2 linked regions of the Canis lupus familiaris genome follow. The protein of the gene in region 1 interacts with the protein of each later gene in a pairwise test. Links are inferred from orthologs where the notes say so. Each region holds a gene or a part of one and is shown on either strand. Other genes may lie near its edges.

The links.
Region 2: the proteins of TRIP10 (region 1) and SH3BP1 interact in binary tests that used the Homo sapiens proteins (3 or more experiments, as listed by UniProt). The two-hybrid records come from large-scale screens. The link is inferred for Canis lupus familiaris from reciprocal best matches to the Homo sapiens genes TRIP10 and SH3BP1.

The regions. Positions count from the first base shown.
Region 1 is NC_049241.1:53,950,458-53,954,967, reverse strand, and holds the start of TRIP10 (cdc42-interacting protein 4), read left to right. Parts: upstream 1-1,423; 5' UTR 1,424-1,443; coding exon 1,444-1,563; intron 1,564-3,283; exon of another isoform or gene 3,284-3,359; coding exon of another isoform or gene 3,360-3,383; intron 3,384-4,510. UniProt on the Homo sapiens protein: Required for translocation of GLUT4 to the plasma membrane in response to insulin signaling. Required to coordinate membrane tubulation with reorganization of the actin cytoskeleton during endocytosis.
Region 2 is NC_049231.1:27,963,799-27,968,169, reverse strand, and holds the start of SH3BP1 (SH3 domain-binding protein 1), read left to right. Parts: upstream 1-1,506; coding exon 1,507-1,565; intron 1,566-2,036; exon of another isoform or gene 2,037-2,279; coding exon of another isoform or gene 2,280-2,287; intron 2,288-2,753; coding exon 2,754-2,802; intron 2,803-3,033; coding exon 3,034-3,138; intron 3,139-4,196; coding exon 4,197-4,273; intron 4,274-4,371. UniProt on the Homo sapiens protein: GTPase activating protein (GAP) which specifically converts GTP-bound Rho-type GTPases including RAC1 and CDC42 in their inactive GDP-bound form.

The sequences.
Region 1 (4,510 bases):
GCACTGGTGTGCCCTCCCTCCACCAACCCCCGCTCAGGGTTGCACATATTGCACGAGGCCTTATTATTCCCATGTTACAGATGAGGACACGGAGGCTCAGAGAGGCCAATGGATTTGCCCAAGATCCCATGGATGAGAGGCTGAGCCACCTCTCATCGGCGTGGTGGTGGTGGTGGTGGTGGGGTGGTGGGGTGGTGGCAGGAAACTTGTGCGCCTCGCCCTCCTCCAGCAAAGTCCTCAAAGCCCCTCACCAGCGGGGTCTCCTCTTCTGTCTCCCGGAGGCCCAGCCGCAGGAGGCTCAGGTCCACCTCCAGGGAGCCATTGGCGTAGAAGCCGAAGCTGTTCAGCGGGATCTCGGCTCGCTTCTCCCCCTGCCGGAGACCAAGGAGGCAGAGGCAGCTCAGACCTCTCCCCACCAGCCCAGCCCCACGGCTCTGGCGCGAGGTGGCAACAGGGTGGCCCCAGCTCCTCCAGCCGCTGCTCTGCGAGTCCAGGAAGGGAAAGCCCAGGGGCACCTGGAAGTCTGGGCAGCGGGTGAGCACCACCCCAAAAGCGGAGTTCTTCATCTTGGTGTGCGGAGCCCCGACCCCCCAGACAAGTGTGAGCTTCCAAGATCCCAGCGAGTGCCCAGGGGACCCGGTTCTACGAGCCCCGGGGACTCCCCCAGGGCCCCAGCGCCCCAGAGCGACCCCGAGGATGCACACACAGGACTAAAAGTTGGGGCTCCCGGGGGGGGTGAAGTCCTACCCCCTAGTGGGTGGGGCACGACCCTAGCGGGGGCGGCCCCGCAGCCCCAAGCGGGGACCGAGGGGGACTCCTCGGACGAGACCACTCGGGGCCTGGAAGCGGGGGGGCGGCGGACCGCTCCATCCCGCGTAAGCAGAGGGGGAGGTAGGACGAGACCACTCCAAACCAGGGGCTTCTTGGGGACAGAACTGCGCCCCCCGCCGCCGCCCGCCGCGCGGAGGGACTCACCGTCAGCGCCAGCCGGTGGATGCGCCCAGAGCAGCTGTCCAGGAGCAGCAGCAGCAGTAGCCGCTGCCCCCACTCCGCGGGGCTCCGGCGGGCGAGCCCCCTCCTCTCGCTCACTGCCATCTCTGGAGCCGCCGCCTCCCCCGACACCGCCTCTGACGCCCCCACCCGCCGACGGGTGAGCCAATCGCCGCACGGCGGGGGCCGTCCCTCCGGCGGGTCCCGCGCGTCTAGCCAATCAGCCACCGCTTCCTCGGAAATCCGCACCGTCCCCCTCGCACGACGCCAGATGGACATCGCCAGCTCCGAATGGGCCGCCTCCGCCGTCACCAATCACTAGGGAGACTGTGCTGATGCAATTGGCTCAACAGTCCACCTAACCAGTGCTGCTGGACCCGATATCCCGCCCCTGAAGCGGAATTCCTCCACCCACGCCCAACTGAAGATCGGTCCAGGACTACATTACCCAGAATGCAGGAAGACCAGACAGCGCAACAGGGCACGCAAAAACTACATTTCCCAATGTCCCTCAGGACGGACTTCCCCTCTTTACCCTGGGGAGGTGGCTCCCAGCCAGAGCACAGGCTTTTGGTAAACACGCACGTCTGCCGAGGCCTGTCCTGTTCTAATCTTGCTGATCCAGGAAGGCCGAAACCTAGCCCCAGGCTCAATCTTGACCCTAGGATGACCTATGACCCTGGGCTGAATTCCAGCCTTAGGCGGAGACTCTTCTAACCCTAGAGTGAGGCAACTAGAAACCCACCCACAGATCCCAAGCTGGAGGTGTCCACGGGGACGGGGGCTGAACCGGGCTGAGTCCTTAGCTGCAACTGAGCCCGGACATCAACCTGAAATCCAGACTTCCCCACTCCCTTCCGACCCTCGACCTACGCTGAGCCTGAGCGTTAATCTCTGGTTGAGCCCTCCCAACCTGGACGGAGCCCTGACCCCAGACGAGGCCTGACCGCTGGACCGTAGTTTGTGGCCACGACCCCCTAGTGGGTTGCTGACCCCTCCGCTAAGCTGACCCCAGGTTGAGATCCTATCCCAACTGTGGTGCCGACTTGGAACGAATCCCAATTCCAATTTGAGTTTGATGCCAGTGTGGAGACTCTAATACCAGGCTAAGCGGCTGAGAGCAGAACTCACGCTGAGCCCCTGACTCAGCTGGTCCCCCAAACCCTGGAGCACAGCCCACTTTGCAACAGGATGTTTTCTAGCTCAGAAGCCACCAGCAGGTGGGGCCAGGTCCCCACAGAGCCATCTGTCCCAGGATTTCAGGCTGATGTCCCCTGGGCTCCTGGGGCTCCCCTCCTGGAAGCCCAGAAGCTTGGGGCCTAACTTGTGCCCCAGGGGCTCCGGGGCGTCTGTCACCTCCGTTGGCACTAAGGACTAAAGGCAGGAGAGGATGAGGGTGGGAGCTGCAGGGTTCTCTACCCTTTCATCTCAGTGCCTTAAGGAGATTAATGAGGTGTGAACAGGCATTTATGAGGGAAGTGACAGACTTCTGTGCCCCCAGGGCCCGAGTGTCTGGAGGGAGAGGTGGAGTCGGAACCGGGGTCTGGACAGTGAAACCTGATTGGGTCTAAACGGATGCGCCTGGAAAATGGGCAGGTGGAAGCGCGAACTGGATGAGGACCGAGGAAAGACCTGGGCCCGGTGCCCCAAGGACAGCCCGTCCTCAGTTTCCCGGCGCAGACTTCGGGAGGAGGGAGAAGGCAGGATGCGGTGGGGGTGCTAATGGACCGGGCCTTGGCGGAGGCACGCGTTCTGGGCAGGATCGAAGTCCTCCCATCCGCCCTGTGGCCGGAGGGAACCAGACCATTAGTGGGCCGAGCATAGATGTCTGGAGCCGGGCCGGCCCGCAAGAGCGGGGTGACCTCAGGTTCTCCCAGCGACGGCGGGGGGGGGGGGGGGGGGGGGGGGGGGGGGTGCGGGAAGGGGTGGCTGGTGGTGGGGGAAGGACCTCTCGGGTTGGGGTTTTAATGTCTTGGTCCCTCTAAGGAATGGTTGAAGGAAAGAGAAAACAACAGTCCCAGGCGACTTAGGGGTGGGGAGGATAAGAGGGGTCCGGGGGATTTGGGAAATGGATGGGGGTCCTTTAAGGGGTCGGTCCAGTGGCGTCTAGTGGCAACTTTCCTTTAAGAGGGGGCGGGGCGTCCGTTGGGCCCCGCCTCCTCGGGGGTCCCGCCTTTAGGGCGCTGTTCGGGCCTCCGCGCAGATGGGGGCGTGGCAGGGCCTGCGGGGGCGGGGCCGGGCCTGGGGGGGCGGGGCCTGGCGGGCTGGGCCGGGCGCGCCGCTCCAGGCTGAGTCTCCCGGCGGCGGGCGGCGGGCGGCGGGCGGCGGGGACCGGGCGCGGCGGCGGCGGCGGCTTCGGCGGGAGCAGCATGGATTGGGGCACCGAGCTGTGGGTGAGTCCGATCGGCCCGGCTTCCAAGTTTCTCCTTTTCTGGAGTTCAGACCCCCCCTCCTTTGCTCCTGCACGACCTTAGCGGGGGCTCGGCGCTTTCCCCTTCGGAGACCCCCGGAGTCCCCGCTTTCCGCCCTCCCTCGGAGTTGCCCAGGGCGTTTCAGGACGCCCGGGGCGAAGGGCGACCTTGCAGCCGCCGAGTCGGGAAACTGAGCGCGGGGTTCCGAGTGAGGAGGGCAGGAGTCCTGGGACCAGGCCGGGGCGGCCGGGCGAGGTCACCTATTTTGAGCACCCTGGCTGGGCCGGCGGCTTATCTTACGGCCCCTGGGTCCCTGCCCGCAGCCCGCCTGTCCGGCTTGGGCGGGGGAGGGGACCCTGTGGCCACTTCCAAGCCCACGTGGGACCTGGAAGTTCTGACCGCCTTTCGGAGGCTCCAATCAACACCTTGGGGCTTGGGTCGCGCTAGGGGGGAGGGGGCTGCGAGGCTTGGCCTCGCAGCCCCCTCCCCCATCCCGCCCCAGGCACTGGGAGGGGCCGCCCCCAGGCTGCTTCTGACCTCTGCTCTGGAAGCCCCAGAAATTTCCCCTTATTCTAGCCAGGACCTCTGACCCCTCCTTTTTATGGGGGCGGTGGCATCCCTGGGTTCCTGGATGCAGAGGGGGTAACCAGATTCCTTCCCCCACAACTCTGGAATTTCTTTCGGAGGTGCAGTGGGGTCAGTGGGGGAAACGGAGTCACGTGTGTGCGGGGGACCCCGGGAAGCATGGCGACCCGGGGAACATGGTGCCTGGCCCCTGGACATTCTGGGGCCCCCCGAGCTGCGGCGAATCCTGCCCCTCTGGTCCTGACTCACGCCGGGCCGGCCGGATTTTCCGGAATCTTGGGAGGGGGGATTAGGGGAGCCGGGGCAGGGGGGAGTGGCCCTGCCCCATTCCACACCCCTCTTGGCGGTCTGGAGGCCGGGACCCCGTAGTCCGGCCGGGGCCCCGCCCCTGTTCCCTGGCCCTTCCCGGGAAGGGGAGGGGGTTCCCGCCGGTTTCCTGCCTCCCCCCGCGCCGCGCCGGGGCGGGGCCGGGAAGCCACACCTTCTCCTAGCTCCGAGCCCTGAGGCTTCTCAGGCGCCTGGTG
Region 2 (4,371 bases), on another chromosome or scaffold:
TCTGGCTCTCCCTTCAGGGGCCTGGAGGAGCAAGCAGCCAGCACCCAGTGAGTGCTCGCCCTGTGGCAGGGCCCCTGTCTGAGGCCAAGGTCCTGCCCCCATGAAGTACCCAGTCTGCCTACCCACACACAGTAGGCGCTCAAGTAATCCTCAAACTGAGTTAAAACTCCCAACAAAGCAAAGGCTGGGCAAGACCATACGGCTGTCTCTCCCCCTCCCACTCTCCCTGGGGTCCCTAATGCCGAAGGGGTCCAGGGGTTCAGAGTAAGGAGACCCTACTGTTTCCTAAGGTCCTTTTTTTTTTTTTTTTTTTTTGGTAGATTTAATTTATTCATGAGAGACAGAGAGAGAGGCAGAGACACAGGCAGAGGGAGAAGCAGGCTCTGTGCAGGGAGCTGGATGCGGAACTGGATCCCAGGACCCTGGGATCATGCCCTGAGCTGAAGGCAGACATTCAACCACTGAGTCATCCAGGTGCTCCCCTAAAGTCCCTCATTTTGTATTAACTAACAGTTATGAAGCACCTAGTGTATGCCCAACTGTGTTTTGGGTGGAGGGCCAAGAATCACTACCACTGAGTCTGGGGGCTCAGAGCAGCACTCACCTCACTGTCTTACAAGAGGAAGGGCAAGGATTCACAAAGTCTGCTGGAACGAGAGGCTTTAAGGACGGGGGAGAGAACTGTGCTGGGGCTGGGAAGGAGCTGGATGTCAGGGAGCTGCTCTGGAGGGTGGGGCACCCCCCCCCTTAAAGGGACAACGGGAACAGGCAAGGTTATCTTGTCCGCTCTCCAGGATGGGCAGTTCAGTTGGCCCATCAGACCATTAAAGAGCAAGTCCAGAGTTCTAGTGCCTTGTCCAAGGGCACAAAGCAACACAGTGGCCCCAGGAAGCCGAAGTCCTGGCCAGTCTCCAAAGTCTCCAGTAGGGGAACAGGCAGGGGTCATCTCTAGCTCGAGGTGGCCAGGAGGTCCTTCGGAGAGGAGCCCAGGGCAGCACCCTTCGGCAGGCCCGGGTGCGCCGGCGCGGGCCGGAGAGGCCTGCGGGGCCCTCTTTACCTTTAAGAGGGGTGCGGGACCGAAACCCCGGGCCGGGGGCTGGCGTGGGGCGGAGCCCAGAGTCCGGCCGCGAGGTGGCAGGAGCCGGCTTACCTGCTTCCCGCCACCGGGCGGGGCGGGGCCGGGGGCGGGGCCGGGGGCGGGGCCGCCACCAACCTGTGGACCGCCCGACGAGTCGCGGGGACCGGCCGGGGACCGCGGGGGGCCCGGAAGCCGGGGGCGAGCGAGCAAACAAACTTGGAGAGAGGAGTGACCTGGGGGCCGGGGGCGGAGTCGCCGCGGAGGGGGCGGGAGCGAGCGGCCGCCCGAGCGCCGCCGGCCCAGGAAGCGGAGAGCGCCGCCCACCCATCCGGGGCGAGCGCGGCGCTGCGGGCGCAGGCAGGCTGGGCCGGGGGCTGCCGGGCCCTCGCCCCCCACCGTGACCCCGCGGCCCCCCGCCCGCGCCCAAGATGATGAAGAGGCAGCTGCATCGCATGCGGCAGCTGGCCCAGACGGGCAGCTTGGGACGGTGAGTGTCAACCCTCTCCCTCCCCGCCCCACACTCACCCCCGCCGGACCCTAGCGGCCGTCGAGGGGCGGGGAGGCTGGGGACGGCGGGACAGACACCCTCGGACCGGCCAGAGCCCTGCCGTCGCTCCCCCGCCTCCGAGAGCCACCCCCACGCCCGGCCAGAGCGGGAGGGGCAAGGCCCTTTGGGGAAGGGGGCACCCCCAGCCCTCTGCGTGCAGGGAGGATCAGGGATGCTGGGTCTTCTCGGCCTCCATGAGCCTCTTGAGCGAACGGTCCTTCCTGGCCTCACTTGTCCCCTCTGTACAATGGGGACAGCTAACCATCTCTGGTCGCCTGGAGTGGGGGCGATCGGGGGCAATTGGGGGCGATCGGGCCCCAAACCTTGGGGGAGGAGAGGAGACTAGGTCCCTGTGGTGGGAGGAGGGGCCTCTTGTCCTGCTTTGTGCCTCTCCCCCTCCACCCCACCCCCAGCCCAGAGGCCTCCAGCTTCTCTATCTTGCTTCTGCTTTTCCCAGCCTCAGGTGGAAACATCCCCAGGTCTCTGTTCTCACCAGCTGGCCCCCAGAGCCGGTGGAGTGGAGGCCAGAAGTTTGGGGAGCTCCCAAGGCCTGTCTTCTCTCCTCTTCCCTCTGTGTTGGGAGTTTCCCATTCTCTTGGCCCAGGGGAGGGGACTGAGAGTCCAAAGGCCTGGCTCTAGTCTCCCACCGCATGGATGCCTATGTGAGCCTCGGCAGTCAGGCGCCCTTGCTCTGGGCTTCAGTGTCCCCAAGTGTCCCTGAACAGGGGTTCAGGGCTTGCACACCACTGCAGTCCTGACTCCTGCATGACTGACAGCCCAGGAGTCTGAGCTCGCACACTTCCCGTTCTTGGGGCCTGCCTGGCCTCCTCTCCCCAGGGTCAGCAGAAGAGGCTGGGGTGGCTTCCCAACCTCACCGCCTTGGGTTTCATCCACCCTCTCTCAGGACACAGCCCTGGGTGGAGGAGGAAAAAGCCTCGTATCCTATTCCCGCCCCCATGGAATGTGCTCCGACTGGGATGAGGCTGACAGGCAGGCCACCCAGGGCGGGCCCCAAGAGGAGGGGCCCTGGAAGCAACAGGGGTCCAGGTGCCCTGCTGAGGGGGCAGGGGGAGGCAGGGGGTTTCCTAACCTGGGCGGCCTCAGCAGAAGCTCCTCCCTCCCCCACAGCACCCCGGAGACAGAGACGGCTGAGTTCCTTGGGGAGGACCTGCAGCAGGTACATGCCTGGGCCGGCAGCGGGTGGCAAGGCAGGCCTGTGCAAGCTGTTAGCAGAGGGCCGCGTGAGGACGCCATTTGGGGGACCCGGTTGAGTCATCCCCCAAGCTGTTGGCCATGGTCTCCAGGAGGAGGGAAGAGAAAAGTGGCTCCTGCTCGGGGAAAGAATGGGGCAGTGGGGGGCAGGGGGCAACCACCTCCTATGATCCATAAACCCCGACCCCCTCTCCAGGTAGAGCAGCGCCTGGAGCCGGCCAAGCGAGCAGCCCACAATGTCCACAAACGGCTGCAGGCCTGTCTGCAGGGCCAGAGCGGGGCGGACATGGACAAGCGGGTGGTGAGTGGGGGTCCCAGGGAGTTGGGGCCTGGACAGGACACCTCTGCCCAGTGGGGGAGTGAGGGCAGGGCTGGGGTCTCCCTGCCCATCTGAGTCTCTGGCTCTGAGGGGGTGGGGCCTGCATTGTCCCAAGACCCTTCAGGCACCCCAGTGACACGGCTGTATCTCTTCCCCACCCCCTTCTTGACCCTGGTCCCATCTGCACGGACTCCCCTGAGGCAGAGCCAGGCCTCCTACAGCACCTGAACTTCTCTGTCTGGTCAGCCCCAGAGCGGACCAGAGCAGGCCTCTGAACTGAGGCCGTGTGGGAGGGCTTCCTGAAGGAAGTGGCATTTGGGCTGATATTAATACTCACCGGTATCAATCCACAGCGAGCATTTGTAGACCGGTGACTGCTAGTCTGTTGCTCAGCTGTGTCAACGTGTTGTCTCACTTACCGCTGACGACACCCCTAGGAGGAGGCTGCCCTCATTAGCACTTTGTACAGATGAGGAAATGGACACCAGGAGGTGAAGTCTCAAGGTCACACGACTAATAAGTGGCAGAACTGAGATTTAATCCCTGGTCTTTCTGACCCAAGCTGGTGCTCTTCGTAACTTGTAGGTGGGAGGGTTTTGAGTTCAGCAGTGACTAAGGCCAAGCCACAGATTCCCCTGGGGCAGGGGAACAGCCCCACTCCCAGGGAGCTCCTAGCGCCTCTGTCCTCCTTCCAGCTGTGTGAACTCGGGCAAGCTCCATGCCCCCTCTTCTTAGTTTTCTGGTGTGGGAGGGTACTTGGTCATCCCTTCGTGCTCAGTGGATTCGTTTCTGGGAGGCGAAAAGGGCACCCCAGATGGGACGGGGTGGGGGACATGGTCACAGGGAGATGTCGCTCAGCCATGCCTGGTCATCATCCTGTCTCCACTCCCACCTAAGACTGTGGCCATCTTGGCTTCCCTGCTCCCCTGTCCATGCTCAGTGCCTCAGTGGGGCTCCGTCCCCGAGGAACTGTCTACATGCTTGGGTGGGGTGGAGGGAGACCCAGCAGGTGCTCACAGCCCGGCCTGCCCTTCCTGCAGAAGAAGCTCCCCCTCATGGCTCTGTCCACCACGATGGCCGAGAGCTTCAAGGAGCTGGACCCCGATTCCAGCATGGGGTGAGCACAGACAGGGCCCCGTCCCTCACCCAGAGATGCCAAAGGGGGATCTGAGCTGGGAGGGGGTCCAGGTGTGGAAGGGCGTCCACAACGGGAGG